Drosophila melanogaster: one gene and its partners. The protein of the gene in region 1 interacts with the protein of each later gene in a pairwise test. Each region holds a gene or a part of one and is shown on either strand. Other genes may lie near its edges.

The links.
Region 2: the proteins of CG8248 (region 1) and Syx6 interact in a two-hybrid assay, tested with the Drosophila melanogaster proteins (one large-scale study listed by BioGRID).
Region 3: the proteins of CG8248 (region 1) and NimC1 interact in a two-hybrid assay, tested with the Drosophila melanogaster proteins (one large-scale study listed by BioGRID).

What each region holds. Positions count from the first base shown.
Region 1 is NT_033778.4:8,917,134-8,923,822, forward strand, and holds CG8248 (uncharacterized protein), read right to left. Parts: upstream 3,236-6,689; 5' UTR 2,958-3,235; coding exon 2,391-2,957; intron 2,334-2,390; coding exon 2,217-2,333; 3' UTR 1,807-2,216; downstream 1-1,806. Other genes in the region: lin (lines), read left to right, coding at 1-544; CG34219 (uncharacterized protein), read right to left, coding at 1,203-1,399, 1,459-1,681; Spt (spitting image), read right to left, coding at 3,374-3,423, 3,487-3,588, 3,652-4,374, 4,439-4,763, 4,820-5,146, 5,206-5,373, 5,436-5,516; CG8243 (uncharacterized protein), read left to right, coding at 5,865-5,982, 6,135-6,689.
Region 2 is NT_033778.4:11,216,384-11,224,071, forward strand, and holds Syx6 (syntaxin 6), read left to right. Parts: upstream 1-3,550; 5' UTR 3,551-3,940; coding exon of another isoform or gene 3,941-3,975; 5' UTR 3,976-3,997; coding exon 3,998-4,238; intron 4,239-4,544; coding exon 4,545-5,246; intron 5,247-5,400; coding exon 5,401-5,477; 3' UTR 5,478-5,955; downstream 5,956-7,688. Other genes in the region: CG9084 (uncharacterized protein), read right to left, coding at 1,068-1,097, 1,164-1,307, 1,371-1,780, 1,823-1,999, 2,700-2,784; CG7737 (uncharacterized protein), read left to right, coding at 7,216-7,300.
Region 3 is NT_033779.5:13,971,425-13,979,869, forward strand, and holds NimC1 (nimrod C1), read right to left. Parts: upstream 4,831-8,445; 5' UTR 4,773-4,830; coding exon 4,554-4,772; intron 4,456-4,553; coding exon 2,806-4,455; 3' UTR 1,734-2,805; downstream 1-1,733. Other genes in the region: NimB5 (nimrod B5), read left to right, coding at 1-257, 317-413; He (hemese), read right to left, coding at 816-1,187, 1,367-1,465; Cyp28a5 (cytochrome P450 28a5), read left to right, coding at 5,936-6,123, 6,268-6,514, 6,579-6,683, 6,771-7,317, 7,384-7,650, 7,792-7,955.

The DNA of each region.
Region 1 (6,689 bases):
TGAGCGCTCGATCCGCGATGTACTCAGCAAGCTGGAGACGTTCATAAAGCAGACGCTGGAATTCCATCCGGAGTGCCACTTCAGCAAGATCCTGATCCACCTGTTCGACGACCAGGACGACCACTTGATCGAGGCCATGGTCTGCACGCTGGACGTCACGTCTGGGATATCGTTCCGCAACAACGCCTTCCCCGAGCTGGTGGCCATGCTGAATCCGGTGTACACATTCCTGGAGTTCCTCAAGATGACATCGAACAGCTCGGACCTGCTGCTGGACCTGCTGGTGAGCAACGAGACCTGCTTCCTGCTCTACCTGCTGCGCCTGCTCAAGTACATCCGCATGAACTGGACGATGTTCGTGCACAGCTGTCACACCTTCGGCATGGGCAGCGCCATGCTAGACGAGGCGATGGGCGTTCTTATCCGGCTGCGCCTGCAGATATCCCGCCTCGTGTCGCGCCAGCTCTACCCCTACGACATTTCCCCCGTGCTGCGCCTGCTCGAGAGCTGCGAGAGCCTGTACGAGGGCAACGAGCTGAGCTGAATGCGGCGCAGGGACGAACTTCAACCACATGCAATTAAAATACGTAATTTATTTTAATATTTAATGGAATAGGAGAAACTAGCGCAAAATTCGATGAAGATGGAGGCCTTGTAGAATACGTGTATTAGCCGTAGGGACCAACCACTCCGACCATAACTCCGCACCCCGATCCAGTAGCGCGTCAACCGTAGTTAAGATCTTGCACCCTCTTCATCCGCTTCGCCCAGCAGGTCTTTCAACCCAGATACATACCCAGCTGTATGTAATTGTCATTGTAATTGTAATGAGCATCACAAGTTCGTAGTTAGTTCGTAGATAATGGTTATATCATAGGTACTGAATTCCAAACTAAACACTACGCTAGCCTAAGATTTTTTTAATCTTGCCCTAAGTAGAATAATGTACAATAGGATGGCAAAATGCTGCGGCAAACGGCTGCCCGCCGAAGTGGGCGTAAATTCGGTGTCTTCGAGAAGAATATTCTTTGTACGTTTTTTTAAAACACTTGAATAATATAACATAATTAACTGATTAAAAGAAACGCATTAAGAAGGACTACAACGTGTGCGGTTTCTGTTTCCGAATGGTGTGTTAAAATACTGTAGTCTCTTTGCAATTTCGTTGGGCTGTGTCCTGATCTCATCTGGACTTCTGGACTTCAATGGCGATTTATCATGCGGACGCGCCGCTTTGGATCAGCGGCTCCACTTGGCATACCACTGACTTCTGGTGGTGGCCCAGTGAGGCTTATCACCGAGCCGCGCCTGGCCATTTCCGGAGGATGTGGACTCGATACGTGCACCGTTTGATAGTTAATGCTGATCGGAACCGAGGAGCGACGGTTAAGACGAGGCTCTAGAGAAGAAAGTAGTTGGTCTTATGGGACGTGTCACTTTGTTGTGGGGACTCTTTACCGAAACGGGCTTCTCCGGATCCCGGCTTATGCGGATGCTGCTGACTGGGTCGGCTGGCCAAAGGAGATACCACCCTGTAGTGATACTCCTGAACCAGCGGAACGGACCTGGTGAAGCCTCCCTCATCGTTTAGCGTGTACTTGAAGCGATCCACAGATACGGAACGCTCCTCGCTGATTATATGCTTGCGCCGGAAGATGGGGGACTCATCCACTTTTGGCATGCATTGGGGAAATGTAGAGCGGTCAGTTTGGGATTCGGGGTGAGAGAGGATCGCAGAGGATTGCGTAAAAGCCCAATCGAACGGAGGAAATGAAACGCAAGCTAACACGGCTACGTATGTAAATTGATCACAGGAAAGCACATAGTAATTGATTTATTTTAGGATTACGTACACTTAGGACAGTAATATACATTCGAGTATGTACAACCTTATATTCGGATTCAGTACAGTTTCACAGATAGGTGAAGAGGAGGTAAACAGTGGAGGTCGTTCAAAAACACAGATATCAAACGCATAATCGAGCCCGAAAAGTGCGATGTACAGATGTATAGATGTATAGAGATTGAGGACAGACGAGAGATACACAATACACAACAATACATTTTCCGAAAAAGTCAGAAAACTGGTGCTTTAGAGTAGAGAAGATTGGCTAGTTCAGTACATAGTGGTAGATACATTTAGATTTATAGGATAACAATTCACTTGATCCCTCGTTAACACGGTGTAATAGGCTAGGCACCTGGCCCCCAGCGAGCTAAAACTTTGGCAAAGATTTTGGTGAAATACCTTTTGATGACCGGCGATCCTGCTTGTGGATCTGGGCATAAGATTGCAGCGAGCACCGGCGCAGTCGCTTGTCCCCTTTGTTCTGCTGCCGAAGAAGGATTATTCACGTGGCAATAGGGAATGGAATGCGGGTTATCCTTACCGACTTGTAGTGCTGGTTGATGTCCGAGGCGGCCTTCAGAAGCAGATAGACAAACACAAGGGCGAACAGGTAAATAATGGGCTCCGCTGTGTTACTCTTCTTGCCAACTTCCTTCTTCTTGTGCCCCTCCGGGGACTTTATCAAACGACGAGGTTGCTTGCTGACCCCATTTCCAGTGCCGTTTTTGGTTCTCTTCGTGGGCCTGCCTTGGGATCTTCTTGAAACTGCCTGATTCCGATTGGATTCCTTTCCGAAAACGTCCAACCTCTGGCACGATGCATCTGGAGCGGCGACATCCAATTCGGCGTCGGCCATGGCTTCCGGCTGGGCATGGTGCAGGTCGAAGGCAGCCACGCCCGGCTTAAAATAGTGCCTGTAGTTGCGCTGCATCCCGGCTACCATGAGATACACAGTGCAGAGCACCACGAGGATCCCCAGCGGCACCACATGATGGTTATTTGTATCCGTGTCCCTACTCACGGCACTTGCTTTTCGGTGTTTGGGAGAACAAGGCGGTGGCCCAATCTCTTCGGACAGAGCAAATTTATCGCCGGCCAGAGATTTCATAGCCGAGTGCTTACTGTTTACCAAGCAATTACCGTGTGTATCTGTTGACTGCGAGTCCTGGCTGCCGCTCGTGGTGGAAAATCGATAGGGATTGCCCACACAGCTTCACATGTTGGGTTGAACGAGGGTGTCCAGTGCAATTGAAAGGTCAATCGACCGAGGGAGATGCGCTGACAAGTGTGCTATGTGTCTATATATTTATTGGAACCTATTGCTCTACTTTTACAACAGTCTAAACTGTTTCCGATGCGATACTCTTCGCCACCCGAGGAACATACATGTTTGTGTGTATGCCTGACCTGACCTATGACATTCAGGTGGCGACGTACGTTAAGTTTGAATTGCAAAATCTCTTAAATGGTATGAACTTAAACACTAAACTAAATAAAAAGTTATGTACAAATGGTTGAAATGCTTCAGCATTCAAAGTATCCATTGGACATTCCAGTGAGTTGGTCGAGTATATCTAAAAATATACGAAATTTAATGGAAAAACTTATAAAATAGGAAATGTAATCATTTTAGGTACCTGTGATTTGTAGATCCGTAGACTGATTACTCATGGAGGTGTATAGCTTTCTGCTTTCAGCTATATTCTGCCGCTTGAACATGACAGTCCGTAAACTTTCTCCTGAAAATAGCATTCAAAACATTGGTAACCTTACCAAATTTATCTAAACATCAGCCGACTTACTTCTCAGAACATTTCCATGGGGTTTTGCCTTATCCGATTTAATGTCCAAGGTATTTGTGGGTAGCTTGTTGTCCGTTCGTCTAGTTACTCTATTCCTACGCTCTGTGTCGTAGAGGATACTGCCGCTTCGGGCTGTTTTATAGCCAGTGAAATGGGTTTCGTCTTCATTTACCCCCTTGGTATCATCAGCTAAAAGGGGAGCCAGGGGAATAGGAAGTTCCTCCTCTTGTTTACCAGCTCCCAGGGAGCCGTGCAATTTGCGCAAGATCGTGCGCAAGATCTTGAAGCGCTTGAGGATTCTCTGCGGCTCCACCTGGGATGCGCACATCAAAATAGCCTTGCACTCGCGCAGTACCCGGATGAACTGCTGGTAGTACTCTTCCCCCAATCGGTCCTGCGTTTCGCTTAGACCCTTTCGGTTGACTTCCAGCTGAAAGTGCTCGACTAGCAGCAAAGAGATTTGAACCAAGTCCTCCAATCGCTGCTTATCGAAAAGCTTTTCCGTTGCACTTATCCCTGAGGTCAGTATCTCCAGGCAACAACCAACGAGGGCGCGGCTGTCGATGATCTCCTGAAGCGCTGCCTTGAACTTGGCCACCTCCTCGTTAAAGTGCTGCTCTAGGATGTCCGAGTGCAAATCGGAACCATGGGCCTGCAGTGAAGGTATCAGAGTGGTGTCCAGTGATTCAAAGGAGGCCAGACAGCTGCGCATTATGGTTTTCACTGAAAAGGAATTGGTACTGGAGTTAATTGCGTTTTTTTTTATAATTATATATAATTATTATACTTTTCAAGTTGGGCGCAAAGGAAATGGCAAAAATGCCTATCTGGGTGGCGCGATCTATGTTCACATCAAAGTCCGCTATGAACTCATCGGCCAGATCATCATTATCTGGGCTGTTCCTTAACAGCGCTCTAATTTTGTCTACCGAAAACTTCTCGAAGTCCAGGAAGCATGTGAATACCAAGCGCAAAAGCGCATCGTTGATAAAGTCCTCCAATTGGTAAATTGCCTGTTCCATGGTCATGGCCCGCAGCTTAAGGGTGGACAGGTAGTTGGCACTGAATGACTCCTTGCACTCCTCCTGAAAGGCATTGCACTCCCGGATGACCTAGAGCACAAATGAGGGGAATAAATAAGGGGATACTGCAGAAGATGTACACCCACCTTTTGGCACAAGGCACTGAGAGCCCTCTTGTCCTGAGACAAAGCCACATTGGCGAATCCCAGAGATTGACCCAAGATCAAATCAATGTTGGCGCGCAACTTCTGGCTGAGTGGAAGGACTTCCTTGGGAGTCTTTGGACAGTTGGAGGTATCGGTGTTTTCCTCACTGTGCGAGGTGAACTGCGCCAAACAATCCAATGCGCCATCCACCAGCTTAAGGAACGAGCGCTCCGGAGCTACTGCTTCGGAACTCGATTCTTCGCTGTAAAGATGCATGAGGCGCTTCAGGCACCAGCGAATGCGGTCCAGGAAGTACTGATGACTTACCTGCTTTCAGAGGATTAGACATCATTGTGCAATGCATGGATGAGATCCAAATTACTCACCGAGACTGTGGTGCCGCATTCTAGTTTCATGGTGTTCTCCACTTGGCGAATGCAGATCATAATCTGGCTGAGGCAGAGGCACACCAGCTCCGAGCACTCCGACTGCCCCTGGGAGCAGAAGGAGCTGTGGGCCAAAGTAGCGAATTCCAATAGCACGGCGCACAGGTCCTGAAATTCAAAGCAACAAGTGATTGATGTCCTGGGGCTAGTGGTCCGTTTCCCCCACTTACATTCAGCCAGTTTGCAGCTGCTGCATTGTTCCTGTTCAGTATCAGCAGGCAGGCCTCTAGTTTCGTTCGCAAAATTTCCATTTTTGCCGGCAAATGTGAGTTCAAATGTTCTGTGGGCAGAAGTAAAAGTAAACAACTTTTTTAAAAAGTGGCTTCGGTTCCCTGTGAATGGCAAGATGGCACGGCTTGGCGTTAGTGACAACCAGGGAGGCTAGCTGCCTTCACCGCCACACGGTCCCACTGGACGCATCACTTTTTCGGTAGCAAAAACTTGTAGAAAATTGTCAATTCAATTCGCTGGTAGTTGTATATCCATGTGAAGCAGAGATAAGCTCCGCCAACTCTACCCGTCGCCCACGCCACGTCGCACAGTTGCGCCCCGCCACAAATATCGAAACCAGGCCTCACAGACCGCAAGCATACCCCAAAATGAGCTCCTCGAATGCGGGACAGCGCACGAAGCTAATTCAGGAGAAGTGCCAGACCCTCCTGACGCAGATGCTCCGCGACGAGGACAACAAGTACTGCGTGGACTGCGATGCCAAGGGTATGTTAATGGGGTCCACTTCTCCGCCAAGAGATACGCCTCTTGGTGACGCACATCTGTGTGCGTGCGTGCGTGGATATACACACCACACATGCAGCTGCACTGCGATATGAGCCTATGTGCTGTCACTGAATGCTACCTTTTATCCTTAGGTCCGCGCTGGGCCTCCTGGAACCTGGGCATGTTTCTCTGCATCCGCTGCGCCGGCATCCATCGCAATCTGGGCGTGCACATATCGCGCGTCAAGTCCGTCAACCTGGACACTTGGACGCCAGAGCAGGTGATCTCGCTGCAGCAGATGGGAAACTCGCGGGCTCGCGCCGTCTACGAGGCGCAGCTGCCGGACGGCTTCCGTCGCCCGCAGACGGACACAGCGCTGGAGAATTTCATCCGGGCCAAGTACGAGCACAAGAAGTACCTGGCCCGCGAGTGGGTGCCTCCCTCGCCGCCGAAAGTGGACTGGGCCAAGGAGATCGACGAGGAGCTTGAGCGCCAGAAGCGCAAGAAGAAGAGCACGCAGGCCCAGGCCACTTTGGGCCTGGCTGGAGTGGCCGGTGGCAGCGGCGACAAGCGCCTGTCCGGGTCATCTGCGTCGGCGCTCAAGAACACCCCCCTGCCCGCGCCGCTTCCAAAGCCGAAACCCAACCAGGTCGGCGGCTGCAGCCCAAAGACGACGCAACGCGTCCAGCTGAACAGCAGCGGCGTTA
Region 2 (7,688 bases), 2.3 Mb from region 1:
CACAACTTACTCTAGAGCTAGCCTATAAGACCCACCTCTCTTCGATGATGGGCCCAACTAGTATTGGGCTAATCGCGAGTAGTAATCAAACGATAGGGGAGCCAGATAAGCGAGTCAGCTATTCCAGTGTAAACACTCTAGGCGAATTGCGCTAAAATAATCATATACAAAGCCTTTTACGGTTTTAAAAGGCAGTCACCCCACACAGATCGTTTCGATCTGCCTCTTAAGTATTTAGGTTAAGGAATCGTCATCAGCTAGCCCTAGTTATAAGCCAACCAACGAGCACACTTATAAATCTATCTATATTGTATACACTTAACCATAATTTGTTTTCGAAATGCATAAATGCAAAAACTCCTGAAGTGCTGTGAGTCTATCTACAAATGTAAAGATCCGAGAGCGAGAGAAGTGTGTTATTTTTAAGGCCTAGCCCCGAAAATGAACCTCCAAACCGAACCAGAACACACCCGCACACTAAGTATATTGGTTTTCTATGTCCAAATCCAAGTTTTGCCCTTTGAAAATCACGTAGTTCTTCCTTATTTCAAATTGTTATCACACCAAGTTTTGAAGCGCAACTATTAACGGTGAATGAGAAATGACTTGCGCCCCTAGTTTTGTTTTAATTCTTTAAACAACGAGACCACGAGACTCATTTAATTGTTTCTTTTAATTTTGTATTTGACAGAAGAGAAACGAAATGATGAAAAAAAACGCTAACTGTAAATAATCAATATGTTGTCATATATGCATTAAGCGGTAGGTTAGATAAACAAACTACACAAAGTTGATAGATATAAATGAAATATTGTACAAACTGCTATGGCAAGCGCTGCAGCAAAATCTATATATACACATAGATATATATCTATATATTTGAATGTGTGTATGTGGTTAAACAACAAGAAAATGAAGTGATCTATTACATTATTGTAAAATATATCAAAAAACTGAGAAAAAAAAAAAACAAAACACAAACAAACATAAAATCTTATACAAAAAAATGACAAAAAATAAAGAAATCAATGTGAATATACAATGTTTTTTTTTATTGATTAATCACGTCAAAAGCGGGTTTGGAAGAATAGATATTCCTGAAAAACGAATACAAAACATTATTGTGGCAAATGATATATGTATATAAACTAGGAGCACAGTACCAGTAGAAAGGCTGATCCCAGTATCAAAGCCCGCTCCTTGGCGGTTAGCTTGGCGTCACTAAAGTATATATTTGTGGTGTACTGAGACTTGCTGGCGAGCCATTTGTGGTCTATGGAAGCCCTCATATTGCCTCCCGAATGGATCTGTAAGGGAACAAAAACACTATAATTGAATATTCTGTTCCGAATGTTAAAGCTACTACCAACCTTAAAATAACAATCTTTGGGCAAACTGAAGCAGCAGAATCCTAAACCGACAGGACCCTCTACACAGAATGTTAGTTGTCCTGTGCTTTCGTCTTCGATAAAGAACTCCGGCTGCATGAAGGTGGGCGACTGCACCACTTTACCCAGCAAATTACCAGGTGGTATCCAAATTTCTAGACTTTTTGCCTGGCAGCACATGGATCCCATCGCTAGTTTTTTGCGAAAAACCAGAGCTTCCTGGTGCGTTTTATCCAGCAGGTGCATCTGAAAGGGTCGACCAGCTCCCCAAAGTAGTCGATTTTTTTCTGTGGAACTCTCGTTGGCCGCGAAAATGGCATCACCCAGTGGAGATCGCACCACATATCGATTCTCCGAGGAGACGCCTGTTAGGGCTGCAAAGGGAAGACGAACTATTAGAAGCGATTTTAGCTAATTTTTGGGCTTGTACTTACCATCGTTAAGCTCAAAGGTCTGTTCAATATGTACGGACGGCAGATCTGCTAGGCAATCGTATCCGGAAAGTGGGATAAGCGTCCGGCTTCCCGTAACCGTGGCAATTGGCACTGGCAGCGGGATGCGTGGAGCCTCCGGCCTGGGTTGTGAGGTAATGCTGATATGGGAGTCATAAACTGAAGAAAAACAAACAAATCGTATATAGACCATTTTCCAATACGAGCAGAATCGTAAGGTTGTCCATATTGTTATCTTTGAACTAAGATTTTATAAACCTTTTCCATATCTTTAGGGTATTACAAACTTTTCCATAGATTGAATTTTGAAAGTTTTTAATATTTTAATTAAATTTAAATTTCATTTAAAGTTGTAGTTTTAAGATCATAATTTTACAGTGAATTTGAATTAAATAAAAATGGTTGTTGAACATTCTGCTAATAATAGCTCTGAGTAATAGCAATATTATTGAAAATATTTTGTGGTTATAACAAATCGTTTAGATTAAAACTTTAGTAGTTTTTCGATTTTTTCATAATCTTGTCACATAAATATTTTATTACTTTTCTTGGAATAGGAAAATGTTGGTATAGGATACAGCTAATATCATGGGTACGGTTTTACTATCGGATTGATCGCTGGGTTCGATCGTCCCAAACAAAGGCACTTGAGGAGTCGCAGACCATAACAAAACGCTGGCCGATAAGATATAGCCAACTTGTGGCCGCATTTTTGCGTCGAACTGTGTGACACACTCGCTCGCAACAATAATTAATCCGGTGCACTGCTTATCAGTTGGTAACAATTCGGTTACCCTTTTGCCAGGGTGATTCACTCGCTGTTTTTATTCGTTTTCTAAAGCCATATGCCCTAAATTACCTCTCGGTTCTGAGAGACTTGGCTGCTGGGCCACACGGATCTCACTGTCGTATTGCAAAGTGCGCACCGCGTTGTTTTGCAACATTTCGCCAGCACTTTTCAAACTTATTTGACGGCGGTCTAAATGAAATTGATAACGGTGGTCAGTGGGGCAGTAGCACAACGGAAGTTAAGTGCTTTGTGCCCCTCGCCTGGTCACACTTCCTGACTCAGATGATTTTAATACTCTATTACGAACGTTCTCATGTGAAATAGTAATAATAGCTTATTTATAGTGCTATTTTGTAAACTTTAATTCATGCGAATGTTGCAGGTTTTCAAAATATTCGTTTATGCTGCTCAAGCTGAATGTGGATAAATATATATTCAAATCCAGAGCTGCCACCTGATTCAAACTGTTTAGTAACGTATTTTCTGCACTTGCGATATATACTAAATTATCGCGGGATAAACGTGCTATCGCACTTGGGTCATACTAAGCCTTACGGTTTATTTTGCTAGCAGCAAAACAGAAATAAAACCTTTACTTAAATTTATTTATCAGAATTTGTCTCGTGTGAACTTGAAATTAAAGTCCGTCACCGTGTTCTCGGACCGAAGTTTGCTAAATGACGTGGAGACGAGCAGCAGGTGAGCGAGCGATGAAAATTGCAACAGTGCTGGCCATTTGGCCGACGATTTGTTGTTGTGGAATTTTTTGGCCAAAATTCGGGTTGTTTTCAAATCGGTTAGTCAAGGGGTTGGTAATCAAGGAACCAAAGTGCGCAGCCGCTGGAGCGGGAGCGGCGTAAACAAATGCCAGTGGGGTAGTGGTTCTCGGTGGGGGCTTAATCTCTGGAGCGCAAATAGCGACAGTGTTCTCTGGGCCATCGGTGGAACCAGCTAAGTCGGCGGAATCCACAAGAAATCGAGCGATAAGCGGCGGAGCGGGTCCAAGTGCAATAATCAATAAACGTGCTGTTCAAACATCGCTGCTAGGCGAAAGATAAAACCCAGTCGATTGTGAAATTCCTGCTATATAGAACGGATTGAAAGCAAAAATTTGCTCCCCATTTGCTTGCCTTTTGATGTAACTCCCACGAAGTGCTTTTGCTATTGCCAACTTGCAATTTGCCCCCTTGTACCTTTGGGGGGTGGTTTTCGCCCGGAAAAATCCATGAAAAGAACCGTCAAGTGCGCCACGCTGGTGAAAAACTGCTAGGAGTGTTAGTTTTCGTTTTGTGGCAAGAAGAGAACGCGGCATGTCTCTGGAGGATCCGTTTTTCGTGGTCAAGGAGTAGGTGTCCCCGATTTGGCAGATGGCCACATGCACTGCTGGTGGAAAGTGCTATCTTACTTATATCTCTGTTTTTTCTTTCATTTCCCTCCCCTTCCCCAACAGCGAGGTATTCAAAGCTCTGAACAAAACCCGCGGCCTCTATCTGCGTTGGCGGGAGCTGGGCGAGAACGGCGGAACGGAGGCTGAATGGACCACCACCGAGCTGCGTAACTCGCTACGGAGCATCGAGTGGGATCTCGAGGACCTCGAGGACACTATCAATATCCTTTTGCAAAGACCATTGAAAAATCAATTCGTTACCTGGTACTCATTTATCGAATTGCATTGTCTGTTTTATTTTCGCATAAAGAGGTTGAGATCCCATTTAAAATTGCTGAATATGCAATTTATTCGTGATTTAATTCGCTCGTTTATTAGTATTATACTAATAAACTGTACAGAACTTGTTTTTTTGGCACTATAATTGTAAAAAAAGAGTACTTGGTATCTTAAGGTCGGTAGAACCGACTTTCTAGCTCATCAGTCTCCTCGGTTTTCTCCTTAACCCATACCATTTTGACTCACACGCATCGTTGAGAAGAATCCAAGCAAGTTTCGGATCGACAACCGCGAACTCTCCAGCCGGCGCCACTTCATCGACAACACTCGCGATGAGGTCAAGCAGATGAAGGATAAGATGAGCCTGAACCGGAGCCGGGACAGAGACATCACCGCACACCAGCCGCTGCTCGACAACGATCGCCACAGCCCCAATCACAATCATTCCATTGCCATACCCAATTCGAATTCCAACTCCAACGAGTACCATCAGCATCCACACAACGATCGCACGTACCTCGTGGAGTGTCCCAACGGCAACTCGCTGATCAATAGCGGCAGTCAGGTGGCCAATACCATAGCTGGGACCATGTCGGCGGCAGCGGCAGCAGCATCCCGCCACAGCGGCACCAAGTACTCCAAGCTGGAGAACGCCCTGGACAGTCCCAGTCACTATGGGCAGACGCATCACGGCGGCATGGACAGTCCGAGTCATAGGTACGTGGGCGAAACAGTGTCCATACAGCAGCGTATGATCCAGGGACAGGATGAGCAGCTAGACATGATCAGCGATTCGATTGGTACCCTCAAGACGGTCTCGCGGCAAATTGGCGTTGAGCTCGATGAGCAGGCCGTCATGCTAGACGACTTTGGGAACGAGTTCGATACCACGGAGTCCAAGTTGGATACGACCATGAAGAAAGTTGCCAAAGTCTTGCACATGAATAATGGTGAGTGGTGCGGCACTTGTGGTATTCAAGGACTATTTTGATTGAAATATTAATGAAGAGTAAATGCTTCAGTGAACCACAATCAAAATTACCCATTGAATACTTTTGTGACTTCTGATTCCTAATTCTTAACTGTATCCATCTTCTTTCACAGATAAACGACAGTGGGCCGCCATTCTCATCCTATCCGGACTGTTATTGTTTGTGATAATTTTGTTTATTATTTTGTAATTGCTTTCGTTGTTCCCAAATCGTTTATATTTAGTGTAAATTAGATTTATTTATGACTTAGCTTGCTTTTGAATTCGGGCTCTTAATTACAATTCCATGTAAACTCCCTTGCTGTATATACACGGAAACATTTTAACCTGATTTATTACCAGCCGCCTCTCTCTATATATATATAATGTAATTCCAAAGCTACGGACAAATGATCATGTAAAGTCAATGTAGGCGGGTAATAAAAGATAACTAACTACTTACATATAAACCAAGTGCTCCAGAGTTCTGTCATTCCCAATTTGGCCAAAGGATACTGCAACTGTAAGCTGTATATACATCGAAGGATATATCTGCATATATATACATACAAACAAAATGGACCTACCAATATCAAACGAGTTATTTAACGAAGAGTCTTAGGAAATTTCACTAACCAAATCTAGCAAAAACTTGTATGCAATTGAGTAAATATATATACTTATAAATTAAATTCCTAATTTAAAGCCAAATGAGGTACTTCTTACGGGTCACCTAGAAATACTGTATGAGTGCACAGAGAGAAATTGTATACATATACAAAAATTTGTTCGCTATTTTGAAAGCCTAAATTAAACAAAAATTGGAAATACAAGCTTTCAAATTTTTTAATGTTTTTAAGGATAGTAGGATTAGTCAAGATGTTATCTTCTGATAGATCAATGATTTGGAAAATGGTATTTAATACCAAATTTTTCTCTGTGCACAAGGAGAGGGTATCAGGCCCCTTCTCATGTTCTCTCTGCGCCCCAAAACCACTCGACAGCCCACTCGATTTGCCCACTCACTCAGCTGTGTTGCATGCTTTTGCCCGGAGCTTTTTGGCGAGCTTACAGTCTGCGCACAGTGGCGCAACCAAAGGGGTATCTTCGAAAGGCTTGAAACATAACCCCTACGGGGAATCCGGACTACGCCACTGGGTCACAGCATAAGCACACGGGCAGAGCGGCACGTTTCCATGTGATGTTTTTCGGGTTTCGGCATTCAGTGTTGTTTGCCTTTTCCGCGGAGCTGGAGTTTTCCCAGCAGTTGGCATATAGTATATATATATATCTCCTGATATTCCGGTAGAAATGTTCAATTGTTGAATTACTTCGGCTAAGCGGCATTCAAAGTTATTTTGGTGAGTGACAGTGCGCAGTGAAGTGAACATACCCACCCATTATCACCCCCAAATATGCAGTAACCCAAAATTCGACTTCCTCTCGGATGTTTGTGGTTGGTTTTCCTATTGTGTGCAGTTTTTGTTGCCGCTGAAAACCTTGAGCATTTTGTTGGCCAAAAATATATAAAATCAATGTCAAACGGCGGAAGATGGGATACCGCTTCCATTTCTTTCCCCCCCCCCCCCCACTTACTGCTCTTCGTGGAAACACTCAGATTTCAGTTGACCGCCAGGTAAAACCAGCTGGTCCGGTTGGCTAGATACTCCTTCTGGGATTTTTCCTCCGCTTTCCCTTTGCTGCCGTGGCTATTAATAAATGCATGTGGCCAGAAGAAGCGAGTGAACATATTTCAGACTACATGTGTTCTTGGTGGCCGTGTGTTTTCCTTTGGACGCCAGTGTGTTGCTCGTGGTTTTCATTGCTGGGTGGGGGGAGCTTTTTCGAAACTCTTATCAAAAGTCGGATTCGCGGGCAGGGATTCGTTCGTTATCGAAACAGATGAGCGAACATGCCGTTACTTTTTAATCAAAAGACGTGTGTAGTTTATGTTGTACGGAAAGTGGACGGTAATAAAACTCAAGTGTCTGGAATTGCAATGCACCATTGCCATAAGCAAATTTCCAATGCACAGTAAGCAAAAATGGCAAAAAAAAACACAAAATTAATTCTGTTGGTGAAAATATCATGTTATATATCAGCAAATTACCCGCACAGACTGTTGTTTATGTATATTATACGATAAGTTTATTGCGAAATCAATTTACAATGCTATTTTTGAAAGTGAAAGGGAAATTGAAAAGCCATATCTGTGAAAGCAAAATGGGAATTTTGAAAAGCAAATTTCCTACAACCATAAGAATTTTTAAAAGGGCTTGTTTTATTCACTTTAACATTTGCAATGGATAGTAAAGCTAACGTATTCACGTTCTGAGATTTTAGGCATGACTGCGAATAAGTGATATTGTATTACAATTTACACAGTTTTAACGCCAAGCATTTGTAAGCTTACTGTTGCATA
Region 3 (8,445 bases), on another chromosome or scaffold:
CCGGGCTACAAGCTGGACGAGACGCGACGCTTCTGCCGCCCGATCTGCAGCAGTGGCTGTGGCAGCAGTCCGCGGCACAACTGCACCGAACCGGAGATCTGTGGCTGCTCCAAGGGCTATCAGCTGACCGACGACGGATGCCAGCCCGTCTGCGAACCGGACTGTGGAATCGGCGGACTCTGCAAGGACAACAACCAGTGCGACTGCGCTCCTGGTTACAATCTGAGGGATGGTGTCTGCCAGGCCGATTGCTATCAGTAAGCTGAAAACTTCATGCTGGGAATACCAGACTAATGGCAATCTTTATTCGGTGCAGGAAGTGCAACAATGGCGTGTGTGTCAGCCGAAACCGATGTCTATGCGATCCGGGATATACCTACCATGAGCAATCAACCATGTGCGTTCCAGTATAGACATTATTACTAAAGAATTGATTTTTATTTCGAAATCCCTTGGGCTTGATCGGTATAAAACCAAAACAGAGATTGTGTTTATCCAAAAGCTGCAGTCATTATCTTAAAAAATAAATTTAAATGGCTAGATAATATCGCATTCAAAACATGTCGAATAGCTGAGATTACTTACTTCCGTATCGCTTAAATATAACAAATGTTTTTGTTTTGAAATTCTTCTTATCCGGCACAAGTAGAAATAAAATATTTGAAGCGCTTGTCGGAAATAAATGAGTCATGTTTATTTCAAATATTTTAAGATTCGTGCCAAAAATTATTTTAATACTTAGTGGATGCAAATTTGTTTTTAAGAAAGTTATTATTTAAATCCTTGTTTTTAGATAATATTATTTAAATATGATTTTAATATTTAATATTATTAAAATATGCGGTACTTTCAATGGGCTTGCATTGCTCTTTCACAGAATATGAACCATAATGGCGTCGAATGCAGTATATTAGAGCAACTAAAATAGCCAAGGTAATTACAATGCCATACACACTGATAAGTAAAGTGTTGCTGTTTTCTGGTTTTGAAATCTCATTGTCCTTTAAAAATATCTTTGCTGTCGTCGAACTTTCGGTTGAACTTTCGGTGAAGTCAGAAATCTGTGTACTTTCTTCAGTAGATGTATCCGAAGTGGATTCCGTTTCACTTGGGGTTGAATCTGTTGTCATAAAGCTAGTTGAAGTTGAATCTGTTGTCATTGTAGTAGTTGGAGATGGACGGTTGCTCTGACAAAAACAAAAAATTATGATAATTCTTGGTTTTTAAAATTAAATTTTTTTAATTAAATACCTATAAATATGTAATATTTAGACTAACATATTTGTATGTCATTTGCATATGCAATTTGACCCTTTGTCATGGGTATTTAATGTTATTGATTTTAAAAGACAGAAAAAGTACGTACATGTATTGGTTTTCTGTGCGGATGTTCAGAACGGTATCCAAAGGAACTGGTAAAAGTGAACAGTGCCAGGAAAACGACGGTCAGTTGAAAATTATGCATATTAGTGACTTATGTAAACTTAGTGTGAACTGCTCCGCCGAGTGCCAAAAAATGAACTAAACTTTAAAATTTCGCTTGCCTTCTGCGGAGCGAGATTAGTACCCTTTATATGAAAGCTTTTCGGGTATATCCAATAAGGAGGAAAATATGTAACCAGTGTATTTATTTTTAATTTAATTGGCTTTATAAAAGTAAGAAGTAATTGTACAATTATTTCTTACTTTTTTATAAAAAAAGAAAGGTGAGTAAAGGATTTAAATACACTTTTAAACGTTAAGCTCGTCGAGTTCATTTTATGAATTTATTGAGTGGTATGTTTTGGTTGACTTACAACTTTTTTCTCATTCTAAAAAATATGAGGATTACAAATCAGTTGATCTCAGTCGTTTTATTAGTCCGCGAACATTTTACATATTTTAAATATTACATATTATATATGTATGTATGTATGCTTAACAGGCCTCCAATGATTTAGTAGTAAATATGACTCAATCACTTTTGTGTGTCATTCCAAACGTTTCCTGTAACTAATGATAATGGTTAATACAAAAATAATTTTTTAAAAAGAAATAATTTCCCTTATATAGTGATGAACAAACTATTTTAATGTAAATAAACAAAAAATTGCTGTGGTTGTCCAAACTTAAAACTCCAAACACAAAACGAAAGGTATTGAAAAACAAAGGGGTTGTCATACCAATACTTCACGGATTTGATCAGTTTATAAAACTGCAAGTTTCCGGTTTTTTTGCATTGTATTGTTATTATGAAAAGTTATACAGTTTTAGAGCATTACAAAAACTCTGCCTTTACAACAGCTATTGAAAGCTCCTCCGTGTGGAGGAAGTGTTTGGCCAAAATATATGTTTGATATCACGATTTATTAAAGCGTGCGTTTTATCTATTGGATTGATTAACCACACAGAAACTCTGTATGGGAATAGATACATATATGACAAGTACTGAAAAAGGAAACGCTGATACGACTGGTTGGTATCAGCGTTTTCTTTTCCAGTACTCGTAAAGTATTCGTATAAATCTTCTTAACTATTACAGTTAGACGTAATATATATCTCGTACTTGTAAAGTACCCTCTTTTGATGAAACCTAGATAGTCAACTTTAAGTAAGCACAATTGACATTTGCTTACATTTATAGTGAGTCCTGCATTCCGTACCTAAATGGTCCAGTTATTCTTTTAAGCTTGAGGACATTACCAACAAATAATTATTATAATTATTATTATAAATTTATTTCATGTTATTACATTTTTTAATTCAAGTAATTTAACAATTTTACAAGCGATTTTGAAAGGATAAGTGATTTTGTGTGGATTCAAACTATTCAAAATCACATTCAACAATGGCTTCTTCGGCTTCAAAATTTCGCCTAGAGGTAGAACGTCGATAGTACTTTATGCCAATGATTGTGGCGGCCACACCAATGATCATTCCAGCGCAGGAGCCTACGATAATCATCCACTTGTTAGACGATCCAGTTCGGTCAGGAATCCGTACCTCAGCCTCTGATCTTGCCCCCTGCTCTGGCAAAATATGACAAACGTATCGCGAATTCTCCCCGCTGTAATCCATGTCACTATCCTCTTGGCACACCAGTTGACCACTCGATAAATCGCATTGGCAATTGTCCAAATTGAGGCACGGCTTGTCCTGGGGATCAACACAGATCTTGGCACACTTGGCTGTATTGAAAGTACCCATCCCATCGTATTCAATCCAGCACATGCAACCGGCAGTGCAATTTGAGTGCGGAACCTCGCTGGTTGATGTCTGCAGTTGAGGGTCTACAGTTGATGATTGCAACTCCACAGTTGTGGTGCTGTATTCATAGGAGTCCGTCGTGGTTTGTAACTCGCATAGTCCGTTAATATTCTCATAGCCCACGTTGCACTCGCACACATTCGGTGCCACACAGTCTCCGAATTGGCAGCCTTTGCAGATCGGCTGACACATAGAAGTGACAGGATTTGTGCTATTGAGCTGATAGCCATCGTGGCATATACAAAAATTGGGTGCCACACAGTGTCCGTTGCTGCAGCCACTGTCGCAAATAGGATCGCATTCGTGATGGGAGTTGTCCTTGAAGCGATAACCCGGATCGCAGGTACAGGTTTCTGGACTGGTGCACTTGCCATGAACACAGTTTAGGCTGCATTTTGGCTCACAGACTTGATTGGGACCCATTTGATAGCCAATACTGCAAACACAAGTCTCCGGTGCAAAGCAAAAGCCGTTGGTACATCCCTTGCTGCACTTGGGTACGCACTTCTTGTCCGCCCCCGACGACTCATAGCCCGGAAAGCACTCGCATTGGTTGGGCGCCACGCAGTGTGCGTTATCCGAGCACTTTTCGCAATGCGGCTGGCAGAGATCATTTCTCATTACGTAGCCCGGCTTGCAGACACAAACGCCGGGACTCAAGCATAATCCGTTCTCCGGGCAAGTGGAGCACACGGGTCGGCAATTGGTGCCTCCGTCGTCACCGGCATATCCATTTTCACACTCGCACACACCTGGCCTCACACATCGGCTGTTTTGGCCACAATCCTTTGGGCAAATGGGCGAGCAATTGCCATTTGAATTGTTCTTGTATCCATCTGGAAAGACGGTGCCGTTTCCCACTTTCTCGTACCCAGGTTCACATTCGCATTTCCCGGGCTCCGAGCAAAAGCTATGGTGTCCACATTCCTTTTCGCAAACTGGAAGGCAATTGTCGCTGGGAGAAGTTCGTTTGTAGCCATTTTGGCAGCTACAGACTCCGGGGCGATCGCAAAACTCGTTTTTTCCACATACCGTTGGGCAAACGGGATGGCAGTCGATACCGCCGTAGCCCGCATTGCAACTGCAAGTATTGGGGGACGAGCAGAATCCATGTTGAGGACACTGTTGTCTGCAGACAGGTTTGCAGTTCTCAACGGATCCTTCGTAGCCCTCACAGCAACTGGGTCTCATTACGGTCCTGTAGGCAGTCTAGAGAACAGGAGAAAAAGCCTCTTTAAAGGAAACTTTAACTACACACTTACCAAAGCTATAAATAATAATATAAATTATGTACAAATTCGAATTACCTCATCTTCATAGACATATTGATGCCTGTACTTAGTAACCCAACCATGAAAGTATGAATACTGTTGAAACGGAACCAATTTACTTTTAAGAACCTTACGGTTATACGGAACGCTTTCCGGGTGACTGCAATCATTTAGGCCATGCCGTAAAATGGCGAAACTTGTGCCAAAGGACAATGACAGACACACAAAATGCAGTGAAAATGCAGTAAAATCCATGAGTAATGCGAGTCAATTCGTTTCCTGAAGTATATACCATATATATATTCACTATCTTAAAGCAACCAGTCTGTCCGATGAATTAAACAGAACTGGACCCTCAATTAATGTAATGTTCTTTTCTCTTGGATTTTTAATGAATTCCAGATAACGAGCACACTATATCTTCGTTTGCTTTGTACATAGGAATCTTTTAGTATTTTATAATTATTTGTATTATTAGCTTTAGGGAGACTAGTTCCGTTCCCCATTTATATTTTACTCAAAGTTTTGTATTTACCTCTTCGTCTGTATAATACTCGGTGCGGTATTTTGTCTGCCAACCACTCCAGAAAGATCTATGCTGGTATGGTATCACTCTACTCCTTTCGACATATCTCTTGTAAGTAACCACCTGCGATCGGTTACAAACATTCAAGCCGATGGGTTGAATGAAGTCGACGAGTAGCATAAAAAAACCCAGACACACCCAAAGGCATTGGATGTGTGACATTATGGAAAGAGCAGAAATCTTGTAAAATTCAGCTTTGATCTCTATGTAAATGAGTTCGGCGCAACGTTTCAAATTCAACTGAGCTGCAAATGTAAATTTATATATTTCATGTTGCTCCAAAATCAGCTACATCCGTTGAGGACTCGACAATCTAGACCTATACATATAAACCGCTTGGGATTATCTGAGCATTTGTTTATCCCAATATTGCAAGCAAAATATGTAAGACAGAAGCAAACGCTATAATGTTTCCTTCAACTACTGTATATATTTCATCAGCCATTCAAATATGCCCTAGGTTACTAAAGATACTTAAATTTATTCTAAATGGTTAATTTCATTGCGGCTAGTCGAGTTGCAACATCAAATGTTATTGCTTTTTTCTACAAAGAACAAGACCGTAAATAAATAATAATTGCTTGATATGACGATTGACGACCGCCTGCAATAATGATTAGCTCTTATCATTTATATGTTAGAACTGTTTATGGTGAAAGTGTGAGTAGTTTACTCTCCCAGAGCACTCACTCAGGTATCTCGGTGATTCCACACTGTTGAATACCTCTCCCAAATTCAATGAGCAGCTACAAATAGAGCAGAGTATCTGATTCCACAACAGACGCCGTTTAGAACTCGTCGCGCGTGGACGTAGATTTTAGAGCGATCGAAAATGGTTCTGATTACTTTGACCCTGGTTTCGTTGGTGGTGGGCCTGCTGTATGCCGTGCTGGTATGGAACTATGACTATTGGAGGAAACGGGGCGTTCCTGGTCCCAAGCCAAAGCTATTGTGCGGAAACTATCCAAACATGTTTACTATGAAGCGGCATGCAATCTACGATCTAGACGATATATACAGGTGAGTTATCCCAGCTAGAAAGGTTATATTAACTACCAAAATTCAATGGATCATCAACTGTTTCACAAAGAAACCAAGAACCATTCTTAAAACGCATTTAAAAAATTACGCTTTACTTGAATTTAATGCGATCATTTTATTCAGGCAGTATAAGAACAAGTACGATGCTGTGGGCATTTTTGGCAGCCGCTCTCCACAGCTGCTGGTGATCAATCCCGCGTTGGCGCGTCGAGTCTTTGTGTCCAACTTTAAGAACTTCCACGACAATGAGATCGCCAAGAATATTGACGAGAAAACCGATTTCATTTTCGCCAACAATCCGTTCTCGTTAACTGGCGAAAAGTGGAAAACTCGAAGGGCGGACGTAACGCCTGGTCTTACGATGGGACGGGTGAGGCAGTTCATCCAGTGGCAAGCCCGAAAAGTACTGATCCAACCAATATACATAATTACAGATAAAGACAGTCTATCCGGTGACAAACAAGGTGTGCCAAAAGTTGACCGAGTGGGTGGAGAAGCAATTGCGTCTGGGTTCTAAAGACGGCATCGATGCCAAGCACGTAAGATTCCATCTATACTATCTGTTGTACGTATTCTATGAAACCAAACCTGTTTTTTTTTTTTTTTTGCTACTTTATCGTCCACAGATGAGTCTCTGCTTCACAACAGAGATGGTCACCGATTGTGTTTTGGGTCTGGGCGCTGAAAGCTTTTCGGATAAGCCCACACCCATAATGTCGAAAATCAATGATCTCTTCAACCAGCCCTGGACCTTTGTGCTGTTCTTTATACTGACTAGTTCCTTCCCATCGCTAAGTCATTTGATTAAGCTACGCTTCGTGCCAGTGGATGTGGAACGCTTCTTTGTCGACCTGATGGGCAGTGCGGTAGAGACACGTCGTGCCCAGTTGGCGGCGGGAAAGCAGTTCGAGCGGTCCGACTTCCTGGACTACATCTTGCAACTGGGTGAGAAGCGCAACCTGGACAATCGTCAATTGCTGGCCTATTCCATGACCTTCCTGCTCGACGGATTCGAAACGACGGCCACAGTCTTGGCTCACATACTGCTCAATCTGGGTCGTAATAAGGAGGCACAGAATCTTCTGCGAGAGGAGATTCGTTCCCATCTGCAGGATGGCACCATTGCCTTTGAAAAGCTTAGCGATTTGCCCTACCTGGACGCTTGTGTGCAGGGTAAATTAAATAATTTTTCAAGCTGCAATTATTGTTTTTAACCGTATTTACCCATTTATTTTATAGAAACCATCCGACTCTTCCCGCCCGGATTTATGTCGAATAAACTGTGCACCGAATCCATCGAGATTCCCAACAAGGAAGGTCCCAACTTCGTCGTGGAGAAGGGCACCACTGTGGTTGTACCTCACTACTGCTTCATGCTGGATGAGGAATTCTTTCCCAATCCCCAGTCCTTCCAGCCCGAGCGATTCCTGGAGCCAGATGCTGCAAAAACATTTAGGGAACGGGGTGTCTTCATGGGATTCGGGGATGGACCGCGTGTGTGCATTGGTTAGTAAACTATCTTTTCTACTATAACACTACAAAATCATAGTGCCTACTGCAGATTCTGATAATTGAAAGCACTCACTACAATTGAACTTTGAATTTAATATTATTATTATTATAACATTTTATTAATTTCCTTTTCAGGAATGCGATTTGCGACGGTCCAGATTAAGGCTGCTATTGTGGAACTGATATCAAAGTTCAATGTCAAGATCAATGACAAAACCCGCAAAGACAATGATTATGAACCCGGCCAAATTATCACTGGTCTGCGTGGGGGCATTTGGCTCGACCTTGAAAAGCTTTAGAGATTCAATTACTTAATAACTCCCCACCAGCGACGGAAACTAATGTGAAAATTGAGTGGCGTAGTTCCCCAGTCTATTTTTACAGAATATTTGATATGTATACCCAGTGGTACACTTAAGCTCGCAATTGGCTGACTTTGTTATTGCATATGTATATTTGTTGTTTCTATATTAAATATATTTCGTATATAAAATTGTGTGTGTGCGACATAAATATAAGGTTGACATAGTAACAACGTCGTAGTTACTTGATATTGGGGTAATTGTATTATATTATTATTTAATTATAAATTTTCTTCAAATGAGTTTGGTTAGTTGAAAATTAGTTAAGCACAGGGATTTTAAATAATTTTTCTATCTATGGTTTATTGACCAGATAAAAATGTTTTCATTTTGTAGAATCCTAAGAATTGGATATTGTTAGGCTTGCTATTATAAAAAGCTACCACTAACTAATATTGATTTAAAATAGACAACCAGAGATGATAAC